Macaca mulatta: one gene and its partners. The protein of the gene in region 2 binds, or shares a complex with, the protein of the main gene of each other region. Links are inferred from orthologs where the notes say so. Each region holds a gene or a part of one and is shown on either strand. Other genes may lie near its edges. The genes, in order: WNK3, KLHL3 and CUL3.

Region 1 (10,354 bases), on a different chromosome or scaffold from region 2:
ACAGGCATAAGCCACTGCACCCGGCCCTGCCCTAAGTATTAATAATGCTTACCCAACACATCATACTTCCTGCCAGTAGGCTATCTTCCTTCAGGCAAATGCTAAATCCCATTCTTTGTGCTTTTATATATTTTTTTAATCTTCTAGATTAGTAGTAACCCTTCTCATGTTTCCCAAAGTATTTGTGGTTGTCTGTGCTAACTTTTCATATTAATTATTATAGAGGATTTATCTTTAAAGCACTCATTTAGATACAACAGTTATATCTGGGGCCCTTTTTGGTGGGGGAGTAGGAGGACAAGAAGAGGGGAGTGATTTTGTAGCCAGGATAGCCTGATGTTAACAAGAATTTTTAGAGCATGATTTTGAAGTAATTTTGATGTCCTTTATAAATTTCCGTATGCTTTCATAAAGTAATAAACTTGATTTCCTCATACTTCTCTGTAAATCTAAGTGCCTCGATAGCTTGTTTTTCTCTGTTTGTGTGTTTCAAGCATCTTTAACTGAGTCTCTTAAATAATATAGGCATAAATGAAAAATTTCATGATAATAGCTTGGAGTTTTAGTAACCTTTTTAGTAAACTGGCACATATGAAGGAAATTTTAATTTGATTTTCAGTTTTCAAAGTTTGTATAATGATGAAAAATATTCTGGGGTAGAAGATTAATATTCTCTTTTATTTACTAAAGTCTAAATAATATTTTTAAAGAAACAAGAAGGCTTAATTTTTGTAAATGGAGTACCTTGGGTTCAGTCTAATATGCTACTATTAATGCAACTAATACATAATACCCTATTTTGGGTTAAAGATCAGTCTGTACAAGAAATTCCAGTGTTATTTTTTTTAAAAAAAGCTTCACCTTACCTAAATTATTACCACTTTGGTTTTTCTCGGTTGTTTTGTTTTGTTTTGTTTTGTTTTGTTTTGTCTTGTCTCCATTAGGAGATGTCCTCAGATGCTTCACTTCCAGGGGATCCAGAGGCCTATCCTGCTGCTGTGTCAAGCGGTGGAGCCATTCATCTGCAGACAGGAGGTGGATATTTTGGCCTAAGCTTTACTTGTCCTAGTCTCAAAAATCCTATTAGCAAGAAATCCTGGACTCGCAAATTAAAAAGCTGGGCATACAGGCTACGGCAGTCAACCAGCTTTTTCAAGAGATCAAAAGTCCGTCAAGGTAGTGTGCTTACAGTCAGGGACATAGACTAGGTAACATCACTTTTCATTTACTTATTTTTTTGTTGTTCATATACAAATCTTGCCACTTTTTCCACGTAGCCCATGTATGTGACATGTCCCATTAATGTCATTGCCGTTTTATTTTTTCCTTTTGTAACTAATTTGGTTTTCCAGTTATTCATTTCATATAGATACTAAGTCTTGGGATAAATCTTGCAATGTCTGATTTAGACTTAGGGACTTATACGATGTTGCTTATTACATTAACACCTTTTAATTGTCTAGCAGGAGTTAAGCTTTTTCTACTTTTCTTCATTTTTGGTAATGTAAACAAATTTAGTCTTAACAAACAATTTTCTCTTTTCTACTTACAATTTGGCAAAACTTGCAGTGGAAACAGAAGAGATGAGATCAGCAATTGCTCCTGATCCCATTCCTCTGACACGGGAGTCTACAGCTGATACTAGGGCTTTGAATAGATGTAAAGCGATGAGTGGATCATTTCAGCGGGGTCGGTTCCAGGTTTGTGTCTTTGATTGAATCCTTATCTACAAGGGCATTATAAAACATAACAGCCACTGGAGATCTTGGTCTGTAGATGATACTTCCATTTTTGTTTTTTGTTTTTTTGTTTACTGAGATGGAGTTTCACTCTTGTTGCCCAAGTTGGAGTGCAATGGCATGATCTTAGCTCACTGCAACCTCCGTCTCCTTGGTTCAAGCGATTCTACTGCCTCAGCCTCCCGAGTAGCTGGGATTACAAGTGCACGCCACCACGCCTGGCTAATTTTTTGTATTTTTATTAGAAACGGGGTTTCACCTTGTTAGCCAGGCTGGTCTTGAACTCCTGACCTCAGGTGATCCACCCGCCTCGGCCTCCCAAAGTACTGAGATTATAGGCGTGAGCCACCATGCCCGGCTGATGATACTTACTTTAAATGTAGATCATTGTCATATTTAATTTGTTCATCTTCCATGCATCCCCTCACTTTTTGAAGCCATCAGTAAAGATGAGTCTACAGAAATGGATAGTAGCTGGTAGAGAGCACAGAAATAGTTTTTTTTTGGCAGGTGGGTGGGTCCTCTTTTATAAATGTAATTTCACGTCTTTTAGAATCTCAGCAACTCTAATTGTGGAATTTTATTTGAGCAATATGATGCCCACTCTCTTTACCCAAGGGGCCTGTTTGAAAGAGTGAATTTGAGGGTATAGATTAAATTTTTAAGTTTTGCTAGTATCAATACATATACATCACAGCAGACCATCTACTTGTCTGTGCTATGCTAACCACTTTTACATTTTTATATCTCAGGTGATTACAATTCCTCAGCAGTCAGCAAAAGTGACATCTTTTGGAATAGAACACATATCAGTGTTCAGTGAGACAAACCATTCTAGTGAAGAAGCCTTTATTGAAGCAGCAAAGTCTCAGTTGGTAGAAATAGAACCTGCCACACAAAATCCCAAAACTTCGTTTTCTTCTGAGAAGTTACAAGCTCTTCAGGAAACCTGTAAAGAAAATAAAGGAGTTCCCAAACAAGGTGACAACTTCTTATCTTTCAGTGCAGCTTGTGAGACTGATGTATCTTCAGTGACCCCAGAAAAGGAATTGGAAGAAACTTCAGCCACAGGAAGTAGCATGCAGTCTGGATCTGAACTGTTGCTTAAAGAGAGAGAGATATTGACTGCTGGGAAACAGCCTAGCTCTGATAGTGAATTTTCAGCCAGTCTTGCTGGCAGTGGAAAGTCAGTGGCAAAGACTGGTCCAGAGAGTGATCAGTGCTTACCACACCATGAAGAACAAGCTTATGCTCAAACACAGAGTTCACTCTTCTATTCACCATCTTCCCCAATGAGCAGTGATGATGAATCAGAAATAGAGGATGAGGACTTGAAGGTGGAGCTTCAAAGATTACGAGAAAAGTAAGGACTGTTTCTCTTTTGTCACAAATCTGGTTGCCCTGGATTTTATAGAACTTAGTATTTGATTGGTAACTAATTTAGGATTGTTGACATTTTAATGATTGAAAACTACAAAGAATGCTAATGCTAAACATTTATGAATGAGAAAAAGTTCTTATATATAAAATGTTTTCATAGTCTCAAGACTATTACAGTTGCTTATTTACCAATATGATTTAATTACTCCTTTTGTTAACCTTTACAGTCCTTATTCTTAAGGACTTTTGGTTTTAGATTTTACAACTATTCTTATATAATTTCACATTTGATAAGTAAACAGCTGATTTATTATAATCAGAGATAGTGGTTCATCTTCTTTAGGAAAAGGTAAGATACTTTCAAGATCAAGCTTATTATTTGGTGACTGAGGTAATCAACCTTCACTAGTGAGATTATGATAATATATTTTGTCAATAGAATGCTGTTTTGTATTTAGTTTTATAAAATAGGTCATTTTAAAAAAAGAAATTCAAGCCAGCTGGGCATGGTGGCTCATGCCTGTAATCTCAGCACTTTAGGAGGCAGAGGCAGGTGGATCACCTGAGGTCAGGAGTTCGAGACTGGCCTGGCCAACATTTTGAAACCTTGTCTCTACTTAAAAAAAAAAAAAAACCATACAAAAATTAGCCAGGCATAGTAGCAGATGCCTGTACTCCCAGCTACTTGGGAGGCTGAGGCAGGAGAATTGCTTGAGCCTGGGAGGTGGAGGTTGCAGTGAGCCCAGATTGTGCGCCACTGCACTCCAGCCTGGGTAACAGAGCAAGACTTTGTCTAAAAAAAAAAAAAAGAAAGAAAAAAAAGAAATTCATATTAAGTTGCTGAATTCTAATTCTATCCACATGGTTCAAAATTCAAAAGGTACAAAAGGGTAACCAGTAGTCTCCCTCCTAGCACTGCAGCTGAACTACCCAGGTTCTCTCCTTACACACAATAAATATTACCTGTTTCTTGTATATCCAGTTAGTCTATAACCGTACAAACAAATATGCATATTTCATTCTTTGTTCCCCCAAATAGTAACTTACACTGCAAGACTGTTCTTATATCTTGGTTTTCTTTACCATTTCATGGTATCTTGGATATATACCTGTATCATTATATTTTTGACTGTTTCAAAGTATTCCAGTATATGCATATACTCATAAGTTAATTACTAGCCTCCTATTGATGACCCCATGCCATTACTTTGAAAAGTTGAAACCAACTCTAGCAATTTTTTAATGTATCTTATGCTTTAGAGAATTCCTGCACTGTTATGGAACTTAATTTGTAAAGCAGAGAGAACCAGGGAGGACTAAAAATATAGGCATGTAAAAAGCTGGATTTGGCTGGGCGCAGTGGCTCATGTCTGTAATCCCAGCACTTTAGGAGGCCGACGTGGGTGGATCACCTGAGGTCAGGAGTTTGAGACCAGCCTAGCCAACATGGCAAAACCCCGTCTCTACTAAAAATACAAAAATTAGCCAGACGTGGTGGCGCCTGTAATCCCAGCGACTCAGGAGGCTGAGGCAGGGAGAACTACTTGAATCTTGGAGGCGGAGGTTGCAGTGAGCTGAGATCACACCACTGCACTCTAGCCTGGGTGACAGAGCGAGACTCCATCTCAAAAAATAAAATAAAAAGCTGGATTTTAGTCAAGTTCTTACAAGCTTGAATAATGCTCCATTTGGATGCTGTGTTTGAGTGCTTCAAGAATTAAAGCAGGTTAAAATCCTTGGAAATTTCTTAGTTTCTAAGGCCTTGCCTCGAGGAGGAAAAAAACCCAAAACTGTCATTCCAGTGATAGATAATTATAATATATTCTCTCTAACTTGTTTCAGTGTTTTTGACTTGAGCTTGCAAGAAAATTGTGAATATATACTTTAAATATTCATCACCAGAAGGCTGATATTCCACTTTAAAATATATATACAGGCTTGACATTACATTATGTATATGTCAACTTATATATTAAGTACTATACAGTATATGTACACTGATACTTTTTATAATAAAAGTTATTAAAGCAGTTTCATATTTGTGATGTAAGTATTCTATTGCTGGTTTTTTGTTTGTTTTTCTGTTTGTTTTTTGTTTTTTTTGTTTTTTTGAGACGGAGTTTTGCTCTGTCGCCCTGGCTGGAGTGCAGTGGCGCGATCTCAGCTCACTGCAAGCTCTGCCTCCTGGGTTCATGCCATTCTCCTGCCTCAGCCTCCTGAGTAGCTGGGACTACAGGCGCCCGCCACCATGCCCAGCTAATTTTTTGTATTTTTAGTAGAGATGGGGTTTCACCGTGTTAGCCAGGATGGTCTTAATCTCCTGGTCTCGTGACCCGCCTGCCTCGGCCTCCCAAAGTGCTGGGATTACAGGCATGAGCCATTGTGCCCGGCCTTCTATTGCTGTTTTTAATGGTTCTTTTAAACCATTGTCAAATGACTGGTAGCTTTTGTAGCTGGCTAGTTTTTTGTAACTGGCTGGTTGTGAATATGTGCTTAATTTTGAATGTGAGACATGAATTCTCATAACCTCATATAACACAACACCTGGAAAGGATCTTTTATTTTGAGACAGAGTCTTACTGTGTTGTCCAGGCTGGAGTGCAGTGGTGCAGTTGCGGATCATTGCAGCCTCTACCTCCTGGGCTCAAACCATCCTCCCACCTCAGCCTCCCAAGTGTCTGGGCCTACAGACATGTAACACATCCAGCTAATATTTAAATTTTTTTGTAGAGATGAGGTCTCCCTGTGTTGCCCAGGCTGGTCTCAGACTTCTAGCCTCAGGCCATCCTCCTGTCTCAGCCTCCCAGAGTGCTGGGATTACAGGCATGAGACACCACGCCTGGCCTAGAAGGGATCTTAAAAAATAATTTATTCTGCCTTCAGTGTTCTTTTAGCATTATGGTTTCTTCACCGATTTTTATTTATTCTTTCTTTTATTACTATTACAATTATTATTATTAAGACGAGGTCTTGCTCTTTCGCCCAGGCTGGAGTGCAGTGGTGCTGTCATGGCTCACTGAAGCCTCTACCTTTGGCTCAAGAGATCTACCTGCCTCAGCATCCCAAGATGCTTGTACTACAGGCACATGCCACCATACCTGGCTGATTTTTTTTTTTTTTTTTTTTTTTCCAGAGAGATAGGGTCTCACTATGTTGTCTAGGCTGGTATCAAACTCCTGGGCTCAAGCGATCCTCCTGCCTTAGCCTCCCACAGGCGTGAGCCACTGCGTCTGGCAAAAATGTTAATATTATTAATACTATTTGACTTTACATTTTGTTTTACTGACTTTCACTGTATTTCAGTTTTAGAAATTTGTTCATCTTTTTCTTCATGAGTGATTCTTATAGTTTAATGTTATGCTTAGGAAGGCATTTCCCGCTTCCCCTCTGGAAATTGTGAAAATACTCTGTGTTTCCCCCATTCTTTCCTCCCTCCCTCCCTTCCTTCCTTCCTCTTTGACAGGGTCTCTGTCACCCAGTCTGGAGTGCAGTGGTGTGATCTTGGCTCACTGCAGCCTTGAATTCCTGGGCTCAAGTGATCCTCCCACCTCAGCCTTTTGAGTAACTGGGACTACAGGCATGCACCACCATGCCCAGCTAATTTTTTTTTAATTTTTTTTTTAAGAGAGATAGGCTCTCCCTACGTTACCCAGGCTTGTCTCGAATTTCTAGCCTCAAACAATACTCCTGCCTTGGCTCCCCAAAGTGCTGGGATTATGGACGTAAGCCATTGTGCCCAGTCTCTATTTCCCCATTCTTAATCTAAATTCCTTGTTAAACTTTACTTATACTGGTGTAGAGTTTCTTGGCTCATCTTTATGGAGCCAGTGCCATTAAAATGCTTTTTGCATGATTTTCATTCAGACACATTCAGGAGGTGGTAAATCTTCAAACCCAGCAGAATAAGGAGCTGCAGGAGCTCTATGAACGCCTTCGGTCAATTAAAGATAGCAAAACCCAATCTACTGAGATTCCTTTGCCACCTGCATCACCACGTCGACCAAGATCTTTCAAAAGCAAACTTCGAAGCCGCCCCCAGTCCTTGACACATGTGGACAATGGCATAGTTGCTACAGGTAAATCGGTCATAAAAGTAATTTTTTAAAAATCTAAGATTTTAAAAATCCAAGATTAGCAAAATGAGAAAAATGATTATAATACAATTTATTTTTAATTAGGCTAAAATAATTTAAAGAAGTACACATTATTCTGAGATTATTTTCTGTTTTTGGTGTTAAATGTCCTTTTATGTAATAATGATTAGGATAATTGATAGACTGTAGAGAGAAGCTGAGTGTGCTTCATGCTTTTATTTGGAAAACCAGCAGCTGGAAGCCCAATGCCAATCCCCACAGTAATTTTTGAAATGTTATCAGTCAGTGGGAACTTCTGGTCTAGCATTTAGAGTTTGTTGGAGAGTTTGTTGGTAACAAGATAATCTTAAAAATACACTTGGCCGGGCACAGTGGCGCACGCCTGTAATCCTCACACTTTGGGAGGCTGAGGTGGGCCTATCGCCTGAGGTCAGGAGTTCAAGACCAGCCTAGCTAACATGGCGAAACCCCATCTCTACCTAAAATACAAAAATTAGCTGGGTGTGGTGGCAGGCGCCTGTAATCCCAACTACTCAGGAGGCTGAAGCGGGAGAATTGCTTGAACCCAGGAAGCGGAGGTTGCAGTGAGCCGAGATTGCGCCATTGCACTCCAGCCTGGGTGACAAGTGCGAAACCCCATCTAAAATACATATATATATATATTTTCTCTGGCCAGGCGCGGTGGCTCACACCTGTAATCCCAGCACTTTGGGACTGTAATCCCAGCACTTTGGGAGGCTCAGGCAAGTGGATCACCTGAGGTCAGGAGTTCGAGACTAGCCTGACCAACATGGTGAAACCCCATCTCTACTAAAAATACAAAATTAGCTGGGCGTGGTGGCTTGTTCCTATAATCCCAGCTACTTGGGAGGCTGAGACAGGAGAATCGCTTGAACCTGGGAGATAGAGGTTGCAGTGAGCCGAGATCATGCCATTGCACTCTAGCCTGTGCAACAAGAATGAAACTCCGTGTCAAAAAAAGAAATGTATACATGTATCTACACTCATGCTCTTATCTGAAGAGATCTTCATTTATTAGTTATAAGAATATTAGTAAAATATACTTCTTTGACTTTGAAAAGTAAGAGCATCAGTCTCTACTTAACTAATAAAGAAGTTGTTAATCAGGTCAGGCCTCTTTGGTTATATGTGCATAGTCAAGGTGGGGGTTAAGGATGTATTGTAAGGACATAAGTGAAATCCCAGCAGAACTTGTCGTAGGCAAAATAATTCCCCCACAAAACGTCCATGTGCAAATCCCTGAAACTTGTGACCATGGTAGGATATATGGCAAAGTCTCGAGAATTAAGCTTGCAGGTGGGATTAAAGTTGCTAATCTGCTGACTCTAAGATAGGGAGATTATCCTGGATTATCCAGGTAGGTCCAGTGTAATCACTAGGATCTTTAAAAGTAGAAGAGAAGAAACACAGAAGAGTCAGAGAAAAGGGAAACAGTGTCAGAAAGGTGCAACATTGCTGGCTTTGAAGATGGAGGAAGAGTGCCACAGACCAAGGAATGGAGGCAACTTCTGGAAGCTGGAAAGGCCAGGGAACAGACCTCTGCTTTAGCCTTCAGAAGGAACACAGCCCTGGCAACACCTTGATTTTAGGCCAGTGAGGACCGTGTTAGGCTTGTAACCTAGAGAACTATAAGATCAATCAATTTGTGTTGTTTGAAGCCACTAAGTTTTTGGCAATTAGTTACAACAACAATAGACAACTAATACAGAACCCAAGAACAGGAACTGTACTTGGATGATCTTGTAAAGACAGAATTAAAGGGTAGACTTAGATTGAAGGCACCTCTGGGGATTTAATAGCAGAAGTACATGAACCTTCAGTCTGATACAGTATCACTAATAGCTATACTTTATTTTATTCTGTTGCATTCCCAAATGGCTTCATTTTATGCATAATTTCTGCTTTCCCAAAACTGGTTGTTAGATAACATTGGTTACTCGTGATCCCAAAGCATTCTTTCACTTTCAGGTCCTTATTTAACTGACCTTTGTTAGATTCCAGGGACAGAAAATTTGACTGTCCCTGCTCATCTTTTTCATGCGAAGAAATGGGTCAGAGCCATTGCCTGGCCTATAGTTGGGCTGTTCTACAGTCAGGTGTCCACCTGTTTCTAAGTAAGCATGGCCAGAGAAGTACGATCTCATGGTAAAAACATGTCTCTGGAGACTGTCTTTGGGATTCCGCAACTTATTTTGTGTTATAATGGATGTACCACAGTTTGTTTATCCATTCACCAGTTGGAGGACATTTGGGTTGTTTGTAGTTTGGGGTTTTACAAATAAAGCTCCCGTAAATAGTCACATACAGCTTTCTGGGTGAACATAAGTTTTCAGATCACTTGGATGAAATACCCAGAAATGAGATTGCTGCATCATATGGTATGCATATTTTACATTTTTAAAAAACAAACCATTTTCCCAAGCAGCTGTATCATTTTACATTTTGTCAGCAATGTGCGAGACTTCCAGTTTTTCTGATGTTCTTCAGCACTTGGTGTTACTAGTATTCTTTTTTTTAGCCAATCGAATAGGTATTTGGTGATATAAAGTGGTTATTTTATTATAATTTTCATTCCCCTAATGGTTAGTGATGTTGAGCATTTTTTTCTTGTACTTATTTGTGTTCTGTGGTAAACTGTTTGTTCAAGTCTGTTGCTATTTTTTTGTATCCTGTTTTATTTTTAATTGAAATTTTCATTGAGATAATTGTCGATTTACATGCAGTTAAATAATACAGAGGAATCCTATGTACCTGTGTACCCTTCACTCAGTTTATCCCAGAGGCAACAATTTTTGTCATTTTAGAAAATTAGGTTGTTGGTTTTCATATGGTTGATTTTTGAGAGTTTTTTTCTATATTTTTGATAAAAATCCTTTGTAGGACATATGATTTACAAATATATTATTCGAGTCTGTAGCTTGTCTTTTCATTCTTTTTTTTTTTTTTGGAGACAAAGTCTTTCTCTGTTTTCCAGGCTGGAGTGCAGTGTTGCAATCTCGGCTCACTGTAAGCTCCGCCTCCCAGGTTCACGCCGTTCTCCTGCCTCAGTCTCCCAAGTAGCTGGGACTACAGGTGCCTGCCACTATGTCCGGCTAATTTTTTGTGTTTTTAGTAGAGAGG
Region 2 (10,354 bases):
CAACAGAGGATTTCTAGGGAGTACGAAGAAGACTCTACCAAAACTTTAGAAACCAAAATTTCCGAAAGAGGTTTACGACAGGAAAAGAATCATGGGATTTGTGGATTGACTTGGTTCTTAGGGAACATCTACTACAACCCTACAACCCACTCATTTCACATATAAGGAATTAGAGGCCAGAATAAGGGAAGGGATTTGCCCAAGGAAGGTCATATGGCAAATGAGAGCAGACCCAGCACCAAGTCCCGGGCCTCCTGACTTCCAGGCAATGGCTCCACATTCAGGAAGGGCCAACCTGTCAGAATCAGCAGAGACAAAAATTCCCTAAAAATAGCACTCCAAACACAAACACTTCTTAAATGGCATCATGCAGATTTTATTTTTGAAACCAGTGAGCACACAAAGGCTCTTTAAAAATATTAAAATAGCATACTTTTTAAAGAATGCTGAGGAAGTGGTCATATGTTTGGTACTATAAAATGAGATCACAACTCAATCTCCAAAAATACACAAAAAAAAAGAGAGAGAGAGAGAAAGGAATAACATTGTGGGAATGTGGCTACCCTTCTCAGAAGTCACACAGCCTTCCCGCCAGGATCAGATTGGTAATCAGTCACCACTGACCACAGGAACCAGCAATAAAGAACCAGTGGACTGATGCCTCTGTCTGCCCTCAGACCCTTCCCTTTGGGCCTCTAAGACAATGGATGGGAAGACAAAGCAGGGGAGAAGGGGTTGTTGCTCCGCTTCCTGAAAAATCCCAAAGGACCATAGAGCTTCTGGTTTTCTGACAAGAAGTAGAAGTAGAAACCTTTTGGAAACTCATTTTCTTCCCATGTTGGGGAATGCATTGAAGTGAGGAAAAGTGGGAGCAGGGGACATAAGTTATCTCCAAACATGAACACTAATAGCTTGGCTTTCAATCCCAGACAGGCAAGCTCAGCTTTGTCAACTGAAGACTTGTCCTACTACTTCAGAGGAATAAGACTGATAATTTAGGGATTTAAAAAACTAACTCTGGAGTCAGCATTACTAATTATATGACCTTGGGCAAATTACTCAACCACTGGCAGCCTTCCTTTCTAAATCTGATAAGTGGAATTCATATTGTATCCACATTGTAGGGCTGTAGTGAGGATTAAATGGATTGAGGCATAAAAAGTATTTGTTAGGACAGTGCCTGGCACATAGTAAGCCTTCACTTTCAAAAGATGTAAACACCTTCATAGAAACATAAGCGATGATGAGGAGCGTTATTATCTCATCCATTCTCTAGTGATCTCCCAGGAAAGGTTAACTTATAAGTGCTGTGTCTAGCTGCAAAGGTGCTAGTGGGATTATATACAGCAAAACGAAAGAAGGAGGAGTTAAAATAAAATGTTAGGTTGTTGAACCAATACCCACTTGTGACTGACTAAAGAAATCACAGATTACACAAACAAATGGAAAACATCCCATACTCATGTATTGGAAGAATCAATGTCATTAAAATGACCATATTCCCTGAAGGAATCTACAGATTCAACACAATTCCTACCAAACTATCAACATCATTCTTCATAGAATTAGAATAAACAATCCTAAAGTTTATACAGAACCAAAAAAGAGCCCGAATAGCCAAAGCCAATCTTAACCAAAAAGAACAAAGCCAGAAGTATCACATTACCTGACTTCAAATTATATTACAAGGCTATAGTAACTAAAACAGCATGGTACTGGTACAAAAATAGACACAGAGATCAATGGAACAGAATAGAGAACCCCGAAACAAAGCCACATACTTAAAACAAGCTGATCTTCAAAAAAGTCGACAAAAATAAAACAATAGGGAAAAGACACTCTATTCAATAAATGGTGCTGTATGTGGCTAGTCACATACACAAGAATGAAACTAGACCTCTGTCTCTTACCATATACAAAAATTAACTGAAGATGGATTAAAGACTTAAATGTAAGACCTGAAACTATAAAAGTCCTAGAAGAAAACCTAGGAAAAACTCTTCAGGGCATTGGCCTAGGCAAAGAATTTATGACTAAGATGCCAACAGCAAGTGCAACAAAAACAAAAATAGACAAATGGAATTTAATTAAACAAACAAACAAAAAGGCTTCTGCACAGCATAAGAAATGATCAACAGAGTAAACAGTCAACCTACAGAATGGGAGAAAATATTTGCAAATTATGCCCCCAACAAAGGACTAATGTCCAGAATATACAAGGAACTCCAACAACTCAACAAGGAAAAAACAACCCCATTAATAAGCAGGCAAAGGATATACATACAGACATTTCTCAAAATAAGGCACTCCAGTGGCCAATAATCATATGAAAAACTGCTTAACATCTGATGATTATCATCAGAAAAAGGAAGATTAAAGCCACAATGAGATATCATCTTATACTTGTCAGATGGCTATTATTAAAAAGTCAAAAAAGGCCGGGTGCAGTGGCTCACACCTGCAATCCCAGCACTTTGGGAGGCTGAGGCAGATGGATCACGAGGTCAGGAGATCGAGACCATCCTGGCTAACACAGTGAAACCCCATCTCCACTACAAATACAAAAAATTAGCTGGGCATGGTGGTGGGTGCCTGTAGTCCCTGCTACTCAGGAGGCTGAGGCAGAAGAATGGCGTGAACCCAGGAGGCGGAGTTTGCAGGGAGGCGGATCTTGCAGTGAGCCAAGATGGCGCCACTGCACTCCAGCCTGGGCAACAGAGTGAGACTCTATCTCAAAAAAAAAAAAAAAAAAAAAAGACATTAGCATGGTTGCAGAGAAAAGGGTATGCTTATACACTGTTGTGGAAATATAAATTAATACAACCTCTATGGAAAAACAGTATGGGGATTTCCCAAAGAACTCAAAATATAACTACCATTTGACCCAGCAATCCCACTACTGGGTATCTATGCAAAGAAAAAGAAATCATTATACTAAAAAGACATGTACAGTCGTTACATTTAAAGCAGCACTATTGACAACAGCAAAGTCATATAACCAATCTAAGTATCCATCAATGGCTGATTAAAGAAAATACAGTATGTATACACCATGGAATCTTATGCAGCCAAATAAAGGGTGAAATTATGTCCTTTGCAGCAACATGGATGGAGCTGGAAGCCATAATCCTAAGTGAGATAACCCAGAAACAGAAAATCAAATACCGTATCTTCTCACTTACATGTACAGGCTAAATAATGGGTATACATGGACATAAAGATGAGAACAATAGACACTGGGGATTCCAAAAGGGATGAGGCTGGAAGGAGGGTGAAGGTTGAAAAATTACCCATTAGGTACAATGGTCACTATTTGGGTGATGGGTACACTAGAAGCCCAAACCCGACTGTTATGCAGTATATCCATGTAACAAACCTGCACATGTACCCTCTGAATCTAAAATGAAACAAACAAACAAAAAAAAATGTAAAGACCCACTTGTGAGCAAATCAGACACAGCCAGCATCCCGAGGTTCTCCCATACCTGCGCCACTGCGACGGGTGCTCATGTCCGCCACATATGTCCACTCATTGGTCGCTGGGTTGTACTGCTCCACAGTGCTCAGACACTGGCGGGAAGCTCCATCATAACCCCCAACAGCATATAGCTTCCCTGCAACACACAAAGTGGCTGAGTGTGGTGCCAGGGACACTGGCATGAAACCAGAGCTCAGCTAAAACCCTATCTGCAACCAACTGGGGCACCCTTACCTCAGAATTCTGTTCCCTCTTTCTCCAGGGGACCACCAACTTACTCCTCAACCAAGCAAAGCATCCTTCACATTTCTTCACATATTCTACTTGCTCTTAAGCCATGAGCTCCTTAGAAGCAAACACTGAACATTCTAAATAAGCACCCCCAAATACCCAGCCCAAAGCTATGGCCTGGCACCACTGGGACTCAACATAATCTTGCTGGTGAATTAGGTTAAATTTTCTCTAGAACAAGACACCAGCACTGGATAGATGGAAAGCTAGAAGGCCCCCAGCTATACGCAGGCAGACCACCTTTCTGGCTCAAGGCTTGAAATAGCAGATGAAATAAATATGGAAAAATCTTCTTCAATGAGAACCCAAAACCTGTCTTAGCCATTGTCTCTACCCCTTCCACAACCCTGGCAGGTACAGTGTGTGAATGGAGTGTTCTTTGTACATCATGGGCCAGGGTGGCTGGAATTTTTCTGCAGACTACCCTGTGATCTCTGAGCCATACACAAGAGCCCTGAGGTGCCGTCATCTACTTTTAAATTAAAATACCATTAAGCTGCTACCCAAGAGTATCATTTCCGCCTGGGGCTGAGAGCTGACAGTGAGGCTGGACGCAGGAGGAAACATTTGGCATTTGAGCTATCCCAAAGCAGAAATTCAAACATTTTGGGTTTAAAATTTAGTCTTAAAATGCAATGGGATGGTCTCTTCTGTGGGAACAGAGGGAGGAGTCACACTAGTTGCAGACTAAATAAACATCGCCAAATGCAAATCCATTTAACAGGATTACTTGGTAGATTTTTTGGTCATATGTGCTTTCTTGATGGATAGACACCAAGAATACTACTAGTATTTGAAAATCCGCAATTATTTTAAGTTAGAAAGATTCTCAGGCTCAAACCTATACTCTGCTACCAGAACTACTGCTGTATTATCAAATGTAAAAATGTTTTTCTTCTATCATCATCGAGCCTGGCTTTATTTTCTGCCCCAGGGTCCTCTCAATTGACCCATCTAGAAGAAACAAACACACCCTCCCCTCAGTTCTGCACGCACCGGAGTGAAAATTTTTTAAAAACCTGACTAAGCAGCCCTTCTATGGTCCAGGCTACTTGTACAGTGTGTGCTGCTTCAGATGCGACAATCTCCATAGCACACTCTCCATTCTCTTGGGGAGCCTCTGCCTGTACTCTGATCCACACAGTCTTTTCCTAAATAGCTATTCTTCGAGGCAGCCAGTAGCAAATTATTGCGATTTCCTCCATTTTTTTTTTTCAGTGTCATTCAAACTGTATAGCCATGGTAATGAGATGATGAGAGGGAGGAGAGGAAGCCAGACACTGCAGAGAGCTGTCTCTTCAAGGCCACAGTGAAGCAGAGTCCACTTAAGTTCCTCCCTCAACATTCTCACCACAGCTGTAAATTGGACTCTGCTGCCCCAGGGTGCCCACAGCCGAAAGAGCTTCAGATTCAGGAGGGGCAGAAGAAACAAATTCCCAGCCTGTCTTCCATGTCAACAGGGCGTGCTACAAGACAGCACTTCTTCCACATACAGAACATGCTCACAAAAGCTTTTGTCAAGGGGAGTATTTTAAATTACCACCATTATGGCACCTCCTCTAACCCCCATCAACCATTCCATCTGCATCAGCTGAAAAAATACACACTCAAGGTTCCTCCTTCAGTCTATTAACAGGGATTTGCTATTTTTAACCCCTACTCTATTGTTTGATATTCCTGGCTAAGGAACAAGAGAAGAAATGAGAAGGTGGCTAGACAAAGCACTTATACTTGGCAGACAAATCAATTTCTGTTCCACCAAGAGAATGAGATTGCAAGACACAATTCACCTTGGAAGGAGGACAAAATCCTTGCCCTCACAAAGATGACTTATTTAGTATGTTAGAATAGTATACCTTTAAACGAAAACTTAAATTACACAATACCAGTGCAGACTGAGAAATACAGTGCGAGAAAAGAATATTTCTATGAATGTCTAACTCGCTGAATGTTACGCTGTCCCCAGGACACATTTGTGTTTGCATGTGTATTCTTGAGTATGTACATGAGAGATGGAATGTCTGCACACATGTCTGAATGAACAGATATTCCATCTAAATTCTCACACTCGCACAGGTTGATGAATCAGTGTTGTCCTGCAAATAACATTTTAGTTCAAGTAATAGTCTATGCTTTGGTACACTGAATTCACACATATTTACAGAACTCCTACCTACTGGCATTTGTCAGCATTCTGAAGGGGCATAGCACAGTGGAAAGAGTACCGGCTTAGGAGTCAGAAGACCTGGGTTCAAGGACAGGCTGTGCTATTTACTGTCATTAGAATGTGGGGCATCTGGAGGATGGAGAAAATCTGAGTCCTGCCTATCTCTTTCACAAGGGTTTTGCAAACAAAACGAGAGACTAGACGTGAGAGTTTTGTTTTTTTTTTTTTTTTAACAAACGAATGTGTACCATCTGACCAGGCCCGAGACTTCACCACGCCCTCCTGCCTTACCCTACACAGCTTTCCTGACTAGAGCTGGACTCGATCACCAGCCTGCCCTGCAGAGACAGTCATCAGACCTAAGAAGGCGTGCCTACCTCACCCACAGTTCTGTTAATGTTCAACATATGAATATGAGGACAAAATTCATTAAACACATTTAATTCTCCCTCCACTACATTATCCTCCTGGGTCACATGCTGACTATAGATTCCCTACTCCCTTCCCCTCCCCAACCTCCAGCAGAGCTATTGACAAGGGGCCAAACCACAGGCCGGCATTTCCCCTCTGGGCTCCTTCTACTCCCCCAGCCCAGCTCCACCACGGGCCAGGAGCTCCACCACCTCTCTGAGTCTCGTCTGCTGAATCAGGATAATAGTACCTAACTCAGAGGAGTGATCTCAGGAATAAACCAAGGTAGAGGAAGCACCAAGCAGGATGCTGGACCCAGGACAAGGCCTGTGGGCCGGATAGGCCTGGCCACCGGCCACTGCACCTCCTTACCCTCCACAACGCCCACACCCACACTGCTCCGCCGCGTGTTCATCGGGGCCACAAAGAACCACTCGTTGGTCTTGTAGCTGTAGGCTTCCACCGATGCTAGGCCTGGGAGACAAGAGACTCATGAGACTTCCATGGCACCAGGCCTCACCCTGCTGTGTAAGAAGCAGTGAGGATGGGGGAGGAGTCCAAATGCAGGGGCTGGAAACCTAAATGTATGGCTCGGTGCCACCTCTGAATCACCATGTGGCCTGTGGCGACTCCCTCAAACACATCTGCAGTGTCTACCTGCGGGGACTATTAAGACTTGACCCAGAGAGTGGGCTGTGAAAGGACAGGGGGTGTGTCTGAAATGCATGGCAAACGTAGATCATAAAAACTGCAGAGTGAGATACTTTGATTCCAAGTAGTCACTTGAGGTAGCCTCACTGAACACCTATTCCAATCCCCTTTCCCCCAGCTTCGTCTATCTTAGCAGTGGAAAGCTAAACACTTGCTTTCCAAGACTCCCTCGCAGCTAGGGGTGACCAAGTCAATGAGACCTAAGCAGAAGTCTATGGGGATTTTAGAAACGGCCTTTGCTTTTCTGATATAGATACCATTCTCCCCTGGAACACAAATGTGTTGGCTGGAGGTATAACAGCCATCTCATGATCATGAGAAAAAGGCCAAGAAAATCTAATCTTAAAGAATGGGGTCTCAATGTCCATGAGCCACTGGACCAACTCAGCCACTGCTAACCTCTAGGCTTCTTGTTTCATGAGTAAAGCAAAATCCCTCATGTTTTAAGGCACAGTTTAATCAGGTTCTCTACTTATAGCCAAAAGTAATTTCCAAAAGAAACAATGCACCACTACCCTTTCGTTCTCTGCCCCACTCACTAAAGTCAGCCTCCAGAGGGGCTAAAGCCCTGGAATTATATGAGTGAGGCAAAGAGAAGGCTGAGAAAAATCCCCAAATTGTGAAGACACAAATAAAAATTCAGAGAAGTAAAAAAACACTGCTTTTCCCCTCCCTGGGGGCCAAAGGATATCATATTAGTTTAACAGAGCTACTGTTTACTGAGACACCTACCTGGCAACATGAGCAGAGATGAGATCACCTCTCTGAGTTTATGTCAACTAATGGTTTCGGGTTGAAATTTTGAAGCTAGATAGAGTCCAGAGGCAAGAAGGCTCACCTATGGTGAAAAAGCCTGGCAAAGCTTCAAGTGGAGTAGTAGAAAGGGCAACAGAAAAAATGGGCAGCCTGGCCCACTGCGTGACCTGAGCCAGGTTTCTTTCAAGTGCTGAACTCAGCTCCCAGAGGATTCAAACTGGAGGCCTGAGGCACCCCCCAGCTAAGCATGCTCTCCTTCTAAGTCTCATCTTCTGAGTAAATAGGTTCCCAGACACTGAAAAGTAGGAAAGGGACTCTTCTGAGTCCTAGAAAGCCTAGTACATGGGCAGTTACATATTCTGTGTGCAAGAAGGCCTGGCTCTTCCCCTGAAAGCTGGATGAGGCAGAAGGGTGGTATCTCCCTGGGGCAGTAGCTACAAATGGACAGAAAGTTGGTCCAGAACTGGCTGAATAAAACAGGGTTTCATGGAGGGTGTGTCCCAGGCTAGGAGGGGTTGGGAACACACCCTGAACCTACCAGTACTGCCATCAAAGCCTCCCACCGCGTAGAGCAAGTCATTGAGCACCGCTGCGCCCAGCGTGCTCCGGCGCTCCTGCATGCTGGCAATGGATGTCCACTGGTCCTTCACGCCGTCATACACATCCACTGTCCGCACCCGCAGTGAGCCATTAAACCCTCCCACGGCATACACGTGGCCAGCCATGAACACCACACCTGAGGCACAGGAAACCGAGACATCAAGGTCAGGTCAGGCGCATGACTGCTCAAGTTGATGGATGACAATGGAGGAGCAAGACAGACACAGGAAAAGTCACCACCGAAGATACTTTAGATATTTGGCAGTCATGGGATTCACTGGATTTCTTTCCTACTTGCTTTTCTAATTTTGTCTGACTCAAGTAAATACTTGAATCAGCTTTAACTCCCCAAGCTCATAAGAACTGACCCCAAAAGAGCCAAAAACTGTGCAAGTGGCCGGGCGTGGTGGCTCATGCCTGTAATCCCAGTACTTTGGGAAGCCAAGGTGGGTGGATCACCTGAGGTCAGGAGTTCAAGACCAGCCTGGCCAACATGGTGAAACCCGTCTCTATTAAAAATGCAAATATTTGCCAAGCATGGTGGTGTGTGCCTGTAATCCCAGCTACTTGGAAGGCTGAAGTGAGAGAATCACTTGAAGCCAGGAGGCGGCGGTTGCAGTAAGCCAAGATCATGACGCTGCACTCCAACCTGGGTGACAGAGCAAGACTGTCTTAAAACAAAAAAAAAAACTGTGCAGGAGGGAAAAGAAAGGGAGCCTGAAATGCACAGATGCTTGAGGAAACAAGGAGTAGCTCACGACTTCTGGCACAGAGTGGGGACCAGCAGGGGAAAAACAGCTTGCAGAACTGGGAGGCTGCTCACCTGCTCTGCATCTTCTGGAGGGAAGCTCAGCAATCTGATCCCACCGGTCCTCCTCGAAATCATAGCACTCCACACTGCGGATTGCCTTGGGTGCCTGGCCGCCAACCACAATCATGACCTCCAGAGAGACAAGTGGACATTAGCGGGGTCTCCCCAAAATCTGGATTTATGGTATCCCTGGTACTTCCACATGGCTTATCACTCAGGGTCTGTGGATGATCCGAGATGCCAGTTTACAGAGCTACATACATGGAGATGCTGCCCCTAGTCACCAACAGGTATGAGTATTCAAGAAAAGTCTAACAAGCATCTTCCCACAGAAACACAATCATAAGTTCTATTTCCCAAATGCCCCACTAGGGGCTATCTTGTGGGTGTGTGAAGCCACGTAGGGCATCATCTGTAATCTCAGTGTCCTCAAGATTGGGAATGGGAGGTGCTAAATCTTATATCAAAACAAACTTGAATATACTTTGAAAAAGAGTGCAGAATTTGGATGCATTTTTTAAAGTATTATTCAAAAGTATTTCTGAATGCCTAGAATGTAGGGTGCACTTATGCACTGCAGTATAGAAAAAACTTGTGAAAAACTCCTGTGAGGTGGTTATTACAAAAGTTATTAAACTGATGATGTTCTGAAAACTAGTGCTAGCAGTCCTATTTCCACAAGTAAGGTAGTAGCCGCCATTGCCAGGCACTATGTGAAATGTGTTGTCATTTACTCGTCACCACAGCTGTGAGGTAATCATCATCATCCACATTGACAGATAGGAAAGTAAAGCTCAGAGAACACATTAAGTGGCCCAAGGTCACACAGCTAGGAGTGTAGGCAGAGACTGAAATCCAAGTCTATCTGACAGAGGGTGAGGCCAGCCACCCCCGCAACTCCTGCTCTAGAGACAGGATCCAAGCAAACACAGCTGGTTGCATCTGTGTTTGTCAAAACACAGGTCACTTTCCATTAGTAAGTCATGAAATCAATTTAATGGATTATGACCAGCATATATATTTTTTAAAGTACGATAATAAGAATATTATTTCATGAAATATTTGTTTTAGTTGTACACACTTACATGTGTCTTCTGGATAGAAATTTAAATGCATTTTGTATTGCAAG
Region 3 (9,255 bases), on a different chromosome or scaffold from region 2:
TCTGCCCACCTCGGCCTCCCAAAGTGCTGGGATTATAGGCGTGAGCCACCACACCCAGTGGCTTGCACTTTTAATTAGCTCAAGGGAAGTCTGGAGAATATGGAGGCCTTATTACAAACTTGGATAATACTAATTTTGGTGGAAAAAAAAAAAGTAAGGACTCTTAGGAGTATTGCGTAAGAGTCTGTAGGCAAGCTTAAGAGGAGAATCTTTAAAATGCGATGAACACAGTATGTATACAGACTTTCTTGCTCTGAGGGGTACCCTCCTCAGCACCCTCTCCCCCATCAGATGTAGAAGTTGCAATAGATTTGTGACAGTCTATTCTATAGTTACATACACACATTGGTTGCCTAATGCTAGAGTTGCACTGGAACAAATGCAAATTCTGTCCTTTTCCTCACTTCTTTGGGTAAGTTTCCTCAGTCGCTTTCAGTCTACAATTCCATTCCATTAGAAAAATCATTCTATTTTTTAAATACAGAAGATAGCATTATATAGAAAATAAAAACGTTAATTCTGTAGGTATTGATATCTGACATCAGTTGTATAAATTAGAAATACTTCAACTATACCATATACCAATATGCATAGCTGATATTACCAATTTTTTCTTGTGAAGGATGTATTTTTACAAGATCAAATTCTCCAAAAACATTTTCTAATAAAACAGTGCAAACTTTCACCAAAATATGTGCCAAGAAAATCTACCTTCAGATTCAAATTCAATTTACAAGGTTCTGTGCAGTCCCCCAAAACAGCCAGTAATTGGGGACACACGCTTTTAAAAGCACAGGTTTTGGAATTAAGAGAACTGGGTCTAAATTCCTGCACCCCATTAACTATCAGTGGGATTTCATAAAAGTTTTTATGTCACTAAGCCTGAGTTTTTTCATAGGATCTCCACAGGACCAAAGGATCTAATACTGGTAAAGTTCTTATCGCGGTGATGCTATGCAAGAAGGCTTAGAAGTCAGCATTTAACACTATATGCCAGCTGGGCATGGTGGCTCATGCCTGTTATCCTAGCGCTTTGGCAGGCTGAGGCAGGAGGATTACTTGAGCCTAGCGGTTTGATGGCAGCCTAGGCAACACAGCAAGACCTTGTCTCTGCCTAAAAGACAAAAAAAAAAAAAAAAAAAAAAAAGCTTTCATAGTGGCATGCACCCGTGCTCCCAACTACGTGAGAGGCTGGGGTGGGAGGATTGCTTGAGGCCAGGAGGTTGAGGGTGTAGTGAGCCACGATCATGCCAGTGTACTCCAGGCTGGGCGACAGAGCAGGATGCTGTACACACACACACACACACACACTCTCTCTCTCTCTGCAACCACCCAAGAGCTGGTCTGTATTTTCCACGTTTTATCTAAAAGTATCAAATAACTTCTATTTATAACAGTATCACACTATGTCATAGCCCCAATAGTGCAGTACAAATTTTAATTTGTGAAGTTCAATTATTTTAAGATTTTCTTTCAAGACACTTACTGATCATTTAGCACATTCAAATGAGGTTTACTGAGTGCCTACACCCACTACATACCAGACATCATGCTGAGGCATTTATTCAAGAATCACAACTGCAGAAAGAATTCTGAGACTGAGAATTTTAATTTTCCCACATTGCAATAAATCTTATATGCAATAAAGTTTATTAGTTGAACTGTCCTGTTATTAAAATCTTGGAATTTGACAATTTCATTGTTACTAAAAAATACACAAGTATACTTTGAGCTCCTCATGTATAATTTTAAAGCTATTTTTGCATGGCTCACTCGAGGTCAACTTAGACCCTAAAACTTAGGATCAACTTACTTACATGACGCACTTACAAATTTGCCATTTCTAAAATTAAATGCACGGGTTTCAAGACACCCTAGTTGTTTTTCTCCTGAGCGCGTAATGGCCAATCTCTGTATCATTACCTGTTAAATTTATCTGACATTCTTACATCTCCTCTTCCCTCTAGCTAATTTGACATAGGAAAGGCACACAAAGGAAAACATTTTGTAAATTTGTAGATTTGAATTTAAGGTACACACCTACCTGTGGTCCCCACTTAAGTATGTAAAACTTTCTCTAAGATTGCAGGAGACAAAACGCCTATTTTCTTTTCAATGGACACATTCCAGAAGGGCAGCCATCACCTTCCCTGTTTTCCTTCCTACCAAAAGTTGGTATCAGCAAATAACATAAAGCTAACAAAATTATGCAAAATTCCATATTGCAATGCTTCATGTATTAGTTTGTCACATTACTATTCATGAGAACGAGGTACAAAATAAATGGAAAATTTTTAATATGGAAAATCGTGTCAATTTGTAACATGGAATATGGATAGGATTAAACCTAGGTCTAACTCGTGGCTCTGCCATTTCCTACTAGCAATGCTGGACAACACTGGTATAATGACGGTTCTCTCACATAAAGCCAATATGACAACTAAATGAATGTACATAAAATATTCAGAATAGTATCTGGCATATGATAAGCACTTAAATGTTACTAACATTTCTAATTATTTCTGCTTTGAGGACTAGAAATGACTTCTAATTTTGCTGACCTGCAATGTTTTAACATTTGCATTTATAGAATGCAAAATACTATGCAACATATAGTAAAATACATGACCTACAATCGATATGTAACAGCTTTCCTTCCAAGATTGACACAATATACCACATACTTTATAAAAAATTATGCTATAAAAGTCATGTCTTAAGTTACAGTAGACAAAGATAAAAATCCTTTATTATGGAAAATGAGTTAAACTGTAAACATTAATACTGCTTTCCAAACTGAGGAATTAAATAATTTAGAAGCCTAAGATGATGCTAGTGTACTAGTCTTCTAGAGATGTAGCCATCTTAAAATCAGTTCTAAGCCTTTCCTGCTACCCAACATACCCAGTGAACAACACATCAACAGTGCTTCACTATGAGAAGGATTCTTACTGAGAAGCTATATCATCATCATCTTGGGGGTTTGATAGCACATAATTACAATGCTACACAGGTGACTTAACATATCCTTTAGAAAGGCATGCATCCCTTCCACCATTCCCTTTTAAACCTTGCATCACAACCACTTTTTTGTGAGGTTGTGCATTCTCTAATTGCAATGAATTTTCAGTCTTTAAATAATGTAACGATTGAAAATAAACACTGTCCTGGACTTGATAATGAAGGCAGAGAATTACACTTTAACAATTACTGAAGAGATGACATCATTTTTGCAGTTGAAAAACTATGTACCCATCCTCCTCAGAACTCTTTTAATAAATCACCAAAATTTCTCCGTATCAACAGGACAGAATGGTTAGGATGCATTTTTCTTTCAAATTAAAGCATTAAAAACTGAGAAAAAAAATAGCATCTGTGACCTCTTGCTAAAAAGAAAGCAGTGTTAAAGTGTATTTTGTTATAACCTTTATGACCTAAAATAATACTTATGAAGTCAAACATATAAACGTTTTGTGTGACCAATTTTTTCAGTGCAGCATCACATCGTCAGCATTCTCCAACCATTCAACTCAACTGCAATTCAGAAATGTTTTAATATATTTAGAAGCATAAACATCAAACCTGTGCTCCGAAATTAACAAGTATGTCTCTAAACTCTAGATCTGATTTTTACAGCCACACTTGAGACAATGATGTAAACTTAAACTTTGCTTTTAATGGCTTAAACTAGCACTAAAATGTTTAATGTCTCTGGAGATTTCAAATGTAGTTTTTTCATCATTCATGTTTACTAACTCGACAATCTGAGCTGTCCTGTTTTCCCAGGTGTTAAGTATCATTTAATTGGGAAATGAAAGCAGTAATAAAATTCTCAAACCTGAAATATCACATTACTTTCCTATAAACACCTTCCCATTATAGAAAATTTCCAATTATGTCAAAATCAGAAGGTGAAACCCTTAGCTTTCCATGTTACACCTGACCTAGTACTGTTCAAGTGTGGTACAAGTGTCCCGAGAACAATGTTCACAATCTTTTTCATTGGCATCTTCATTGCATCATGTAGAAGTGGAAAATGCAGAGATAAAGAGCACAAGGCTTATAATTCTACAGTACAGATGGAGACAAAACTGCAATAAAAACATATTTGCAAGTCTAAAAGGAAAATTATAACCCAAGACGCATGGGGAAAAATATTTATGTGGAGTTTTTAATCCGTATTAGAATTCAGTTGTTTTAACTTGACCATAAATTTAAACAGAAACCATCTTCTGAGACATACATTCTAATAAATGTATCAACAGTACTGATAGTCAACGAAGGGTCAATTTAAACTTATTAGTAACATTTCATTTTTCTATCCAACAGAAATCTATAGTGGTTTGCCCCATTACATATCTGAAACATTGTCTTATGAAAACAAAATGAAAATTAAATAAAATTGAAGATAAAAATACTCTGGAAGCACAGGATATCTGACAAGAATCTTCAGCACAAAGCACATCTTTGAAAACGTGAAACGATGACTCTTTGGAGGACAATAGCTAAATATCCAAGAATCATCAGGTTTGAGAAATATTGCTTAATCACTTTCCAAAACACAGTTAGCTGCAAGAATTGAAGATTTCATTAAAACTATCAAGGTCATCATATTTATTGCATCTTTAGATTGCATTTTGAAACAGAAAATTAATAGTGCACCACAGCTTCACCAAAATATATATTTAGGGGCAGGGAGGATCTAAGATATTTATAAACAAAGTATAGACTGTATGTGCTTTTCAGAGGGGCTGAATTAAATATAACCAGCTGCCAACTTTGTGCTCTGACATACTTGAATTAGTGGGTTTGTGTATACTAAATTCATTTATTTTTGTCTACAATAAATGAAATAAAAACACCACCCTATACAATCCACTATTAGCAGTGAGTACAACAGCAAAAAAATTATTGTACAATTTATACATACTAAAATATTTTCTTTCTCTAGAAATAACTCAGAACAAAACCTAATCATTGTAAGACTTAATCTGGGGAATCTCAAATTACAATAGGGAAAAACCAAATCAGGATGTGTACTTGAGCCCAAAACAAAGGTTCCTGGTCATAAGGCTAGAAGATTAGTAAGTGCAAGTGGTAGAATACAGCATGCTCAAATTGTATGCTTGGGTCTTTGTATATTTATCAAACCTTTAAATTAAGTAAGACTAGCTAAAGAAATGTCTTCAGAGCAAGATAACTGGGAATTCTGCATTTCTTTTGCCATTTTTGTTACCCAACTTACACAATGCGCAAAGTGCTAAGCAACACTACAAAAACACATTTACATCAACACTGAAGACCTGGGGAAATGAAATCCAACAATTTTATTTTAATGAGCTGTATTTTCTAAATTTTTGTTTTATTTTCCTGTTTTCATACAGTAAAGAAAACAAAACGCAGCACATTCACATTTTCCCGAGGAACTGTAAAGATGATCTCTACAGGGATAAACGTTGTAAAGCCTGAAGCTCAATCAACTGTTGTTGAAAACTCTCAAAGGGAGTAAAGGCTTGATCTCAATGGTCTAGAACATGTACTGTAATTTAATAGAAGAGATGGTCGTCTTAATATTTAATGATTTAAAAGAACTTCCCAGTCCATGCGAAGAGTACAGTCCAAGAATAAATCAAATTTCTGAACGCATTTTATGCTACATATGTGTATACTTTGCGATCCTCAGGTGTTCGTGCCAAATATTCTCTCTCAATAAGTCCTTCAATACGTTTCTTAATAACAACTGGACTTGGTAAGAATCGAGCCTTCAACTGCTGAGTTACCTAAAAAAGAAAGTAGACAGCATTTTTATATAAACACATAGAAATTCCTATCTTTCAACAGAACTGATATGTCATTTTAACACTGAGAGATTGAACTTTACTAACTGGATTAACAAAGCTAAAAGCACAGAAACTTTAAAAAGGTTCTGTCTGAAAATGTAATGTATGGTTACAACACACTTCCTCAAATCAGAGTGTGAATGCTAAGGACAGCAGTTGAATAGATGAATTAGTTGGAATTATGTTAGTGTGAGTATATGTCACCTATAGTTTAACCTTTTGATGCTGTTATCTACTGACTTCTGGGTTACACTCAAAACTTACAGAACTTGGGTAGCCTATGTATTTAAGAACACAAACTCTGGACTCACAGTACCTGGATAAACTCAGCTCCACCACTACTAGCTCTGGGACCTTGGCCCACTGGCGTGTACACTCAATGTGTTAACAGACATAATGCCTTAGAATAATAATGCCCAATCAAAAGTGCTTCTGTTGTTCCAAGTACTATCAGATTCTAAGTACTGTGCTACATATAATAATAAAACAGTAACTAAAGTAGCAGTCACAGTCTGTCTATGCATCAGTCATTTTGCATGTATGAGTTTATGGTTTGGTTTTTTTTTTTGAGACGGAGTCTTGCTCTGTCGCCCAGGCTGGTGCAGTGGCGTGATCTCCGCTCACTGCAAGCTCCGCCTCCCGGGTTCCCACCATTCTCCTGCCTCAGCCTCCCGAGTAGCTGGGACTACAGGCGCCCACCACCACGCCCGGCTAATTTTTTGTATTTTTAGTAGAGACAGGGTTTCACCGTGTTTGCTAGGATGGTCTTGATCTTCTGACCTCGTGATCTGCCTGCCTCTGCCTCCCAAAGTGTTGGGATTACAGGCGTGAGCCACCATGCCCGGCCTATTTAATTAATGTTCTTAACCCTGCAAAGTTGTCTCATTTTACAAATGAGGAAAATATGCCAGAGAAGAAAACTGACATCAACAAGTAGTAAATAACAGAGCCAGCAGAGATGAATCTAAACCTTTCTGACTTCAAAGTCCATGTTCTTTGCTCAAATCCATCCGTGAGCCAGCTTTGCTTCTACTCTTGTTGATCAGCTCATTTCCCAAAGCCATAATGGATTGATAATTCTTTGAAATCTGAAAATTCAGCACTTCACTCTGCAACTACAATCTATCATCCTTCCAGGATTACCACTCCAGTATCTACAAACTTGCTCTCAACCCACCACCTGAGACCTCCCACCCTTTGCCCTTCTTTTCTTCCAGCCTATTAACAGCTCCTATAGACTTGCTCTCTCCCCTGTAACAGAGCCTAAACTGCATTCAAGATCACTTCAGCTGCACTCTCAACAGGACCTTCTACTCCTGATTCTTTTGGTTCTATCTCATAAACACTATTTGATTAAACCTATATTCTATATATATCATTATCAACCTACCACAGAGCTCTTTGCTGAGTAAAGATGTAGTTGTTACACCACTTGTGTACACCAGGAATCAGTAAACTGCAGTCACAGGCCAAATACACCCCACTATCTGTTTCTGTAAAATTTTACTGAAACACAGTCATATGTATTTATTTTTATTAATTTTTTTTGAGATGGAGTCTCGCTGTCGCCCAGGCTGGAGTACAATGGCACAATCTCGGCTCACTGCAACCTCTGCCTCCCGGGTTCAAGCAATTCTCCTACCTCAGTCTCCCGAGTAGTTGCAATTACAGGCACCCACCACCACGCCCGGCTGATTTTTGTATTTTTAGTAGAGACGGGATTTCGCCATGTTGGTCAGGCTGGTCTTGAACCCCTGACCTCAGGTGATCTGCCTGCCTCGGCCTCCCAAAGTGCTGGGATTGCAGGCATGAGCCACTGTGAGTCACATGCATTTATGTATTATCTATGCTACAATTGGCCATTTACAAAAACATCTGCCAATCTCTGGTGTAGACTGGTAACACAAATTTATAGTATTCAAAAGTTCAGCAAGTTCCTGAGCACCATTCTTTGACAAGTATTATTTCAAATTTTTGACAATCCCCTTAAACTCCTCAACCCAGTCCTGCACCAAGCTCATATCAGGTTTTACATAGAGAAAATAAGCCATTTCAATTTGAAGTTCTTCAAATTCCCACCCTACACATGTACATTCATCCATACTTACACTAAACCTTGCTTAGCACATACCCCTGCACCCTGCCCTGGGTTCTCAGGAAGAGGCATGTTCAGTAACATCTGTGTCAGTACACTACCATCATCATACTCCCTATACAATCCTCACGTTTCCTTTTCTAGAATGTGGTATTGATCCCTTCATCTCATTTCTTTCCATTTGTTTTTAAGGATCCCTTCCTTATTCTTAGGATATAAACATCCTCAGTATCCTCCCATTGTGGGGGGAAAAAAGCCCAAACCCTTCAACTCTACACTGAATCCTCTAATACTGCTCTCTCTGCCCTTTCCCTTGAGCCAATACTTCAAAGAATAAGCCACTCTTGGTAGTTTCCACCTCCATTTCCCTCTCAAGGAACTACCACTGGATATACACTTTCACGAGTCCAATGAAAATGTCTGAGAAAGTTAACCTGTCACATAATTGCTAAAGTAAGTGTTTATTCAACTTGGTTTTTCCATGATTTTTGATATTACTGACCACTCACTCCTTGTAATTCTCTTCCCTTGTGCTAGGGCACTGACATTTTGTTTTCTTTTCCTCCTGAAGCAGTGTTCTCAAATTTGAAAAAACATCAGAATCACCTACAGTTCGTGTTAAAAAACCAGACTGTTGGGCCCTATCCCCAGAGTTTCTGATTCAATTCTCAGGCTCTGGTGGAATCTAAGAATCTGTGTTTCTCATGAGTTCCCAGGTGATGCTGAGGTAGCTGCTCCAAGAACCACAGTGTGAAAACCAGTGCTCTAAAGAGTTTCTGTTAGTTGTTACACTCACCGTTCCTAAAATGATGAGGGAGGGGTCTATCCCATAGTTCTTTCTTGCTCTATATGCCAACACTGAGCAATTTAATCCACACCTGTGGTTTTAACTGCATTCTCATATAGCTAATTCCCAATGCAACTTCTAGCCCTCGTGTCTATTGTCTTCCACCTGCCCCTGGATGTGCCAATATACAATAAAGTCAACTTGTACAAAACAATATTAAGTGACATCTGGACCACAGCGGCACATTACATTACCCTTGTCTTTTTGGTTACAGAAACCAATCTCTATCTACTCATTCAAGCCAGAAACCTAAAAGGTGTCTTCAACTTCTCCCTCTCACTTCCTGTTATCAATCAGTAAGCCTGTCAATTCTACTTCCCAATTATCTTGATTCAGCTTTCTACCCTCTACCAACACTTTACCCAGGTCCTAATCCTCTCCCACCTACCTTAATGGCCTCTTAAGGGGTCTTCCCCTCCTTAGTTCCCCAATTTGTAAAATGAAAGCATTTAATGAACGGTAACCATTAGTAA

What was found.
Region 1: the proteins of KLHL3 (region 2) and WNK3 are in contact, whole or in part, in a crystal structure (PDB 5NKP), measured with the Homo sapiens proteins. The link is inferred for Macaca mulatta from reciprocal best matches to the Homo sapiens genes KLHL3 and WNK3. Residues at the interface, in NP_059111.2 of Homo sapiens: Lys312, Arg339, Phe355, Gly357, Arg360, Thr386, Phe402, Gly404, Ser405, Gly407, Ser432, Ser433, Tyr449, Gly451, Arg454, Cys456, Ser481, His498, Arg528, Tyr577; in NP_065973.2 of Homo sapiens: Glu537, Cys538, Glu539, Glu540, Thr541, Glu542, Val543, Asp544, Gln545, His546.
Region 3: the proteins of KLHL3 (region 2) and CUL3 are in contact, whole or in part, in a crystal structure (PDB 4HXI), measured with the Homo sapiens proteins. The link is inferred for Macaca mulatta from reciprocal best matches to the Homo sapiens genes KLHL3 and CUL3. Residues at the interface, in NP_059111.2 of Homo sapiens: Pro73, Tyr74, Ala77, Met78, Asp82, Met83, Ser84, Glu85, Glu92, Ile93, Lys94, Asp95, Pro125, Ser128, Leu129, Gln131, Met133, Arg136, Asp160, Val161, His162, Thr163, Thr165; in NP_003581.1 of Homo sapiens: Ile44, Asn49, Ser50, Gly51, Leu52, Ser53, Phe54, Glu55, Leu57, Tyr58, Arg59, Tyr62, Thr63, Leu66, Lys68, Met118, Asp121, Ile122, Met124, Tyr125, Arg128, Val129, Gln133.

Annotation. Positions count from the first base shown.
Region 1 is NC_133426.1:54,062,498-54,072,851, reverse strand, and holds part of WNK3 (serine/threonine-protein kinase WNK3), read left to right. Parts: intron 1-944; coding exon 945-1,176; intron 1,177-1,569; coding exon 1,570-1,700; intron 1,701-2,491; coding exon 2,492-3,102; intron 3,103-6,983; coding exon 6,984-7,195; intron 7,196-10,354.
Region 2 is NC_133411.1:146,483,809-146,494,162, forward strand, and holds part of KLHL3 (kelch-like protein 3), read right to left. Parts: intron 9,356-10,354; coding exon 9,238-9,355; intron 8,551-9,237; coding exon 8,353-8,550; intron 6,822-8,352; coding exon 6,720-6,821; intron 3,615-6,719; coding exon 3,486-3,614; intron 1-3,485. UniProt on the Homo sapiens protein: Substrate-specific adapter of a BCR (BTB-CUL3-RBX1) E3 ubiquitin ligase complex that acts as a regulator of ion transport in the distal nephron.
Region 3 is NC_133417.1:129,718,416-129,727,670, forward strand, and holds the end of CUL3 (cullin-3), read right to left. Parts: intron 5,781-9,255; coding exon 5,649-5,780; 3' UTR 4,995-5,648; downstream 1-4,994. UniProt on the Homo sapiens protein: Core component of multiple cullin-RING-based BCR (BTB-CUL3-RBX1) E3 ubiquitin-protein ligase complexes which mediate the ubiquitination and subsequent proteasomal degradation of target proteins.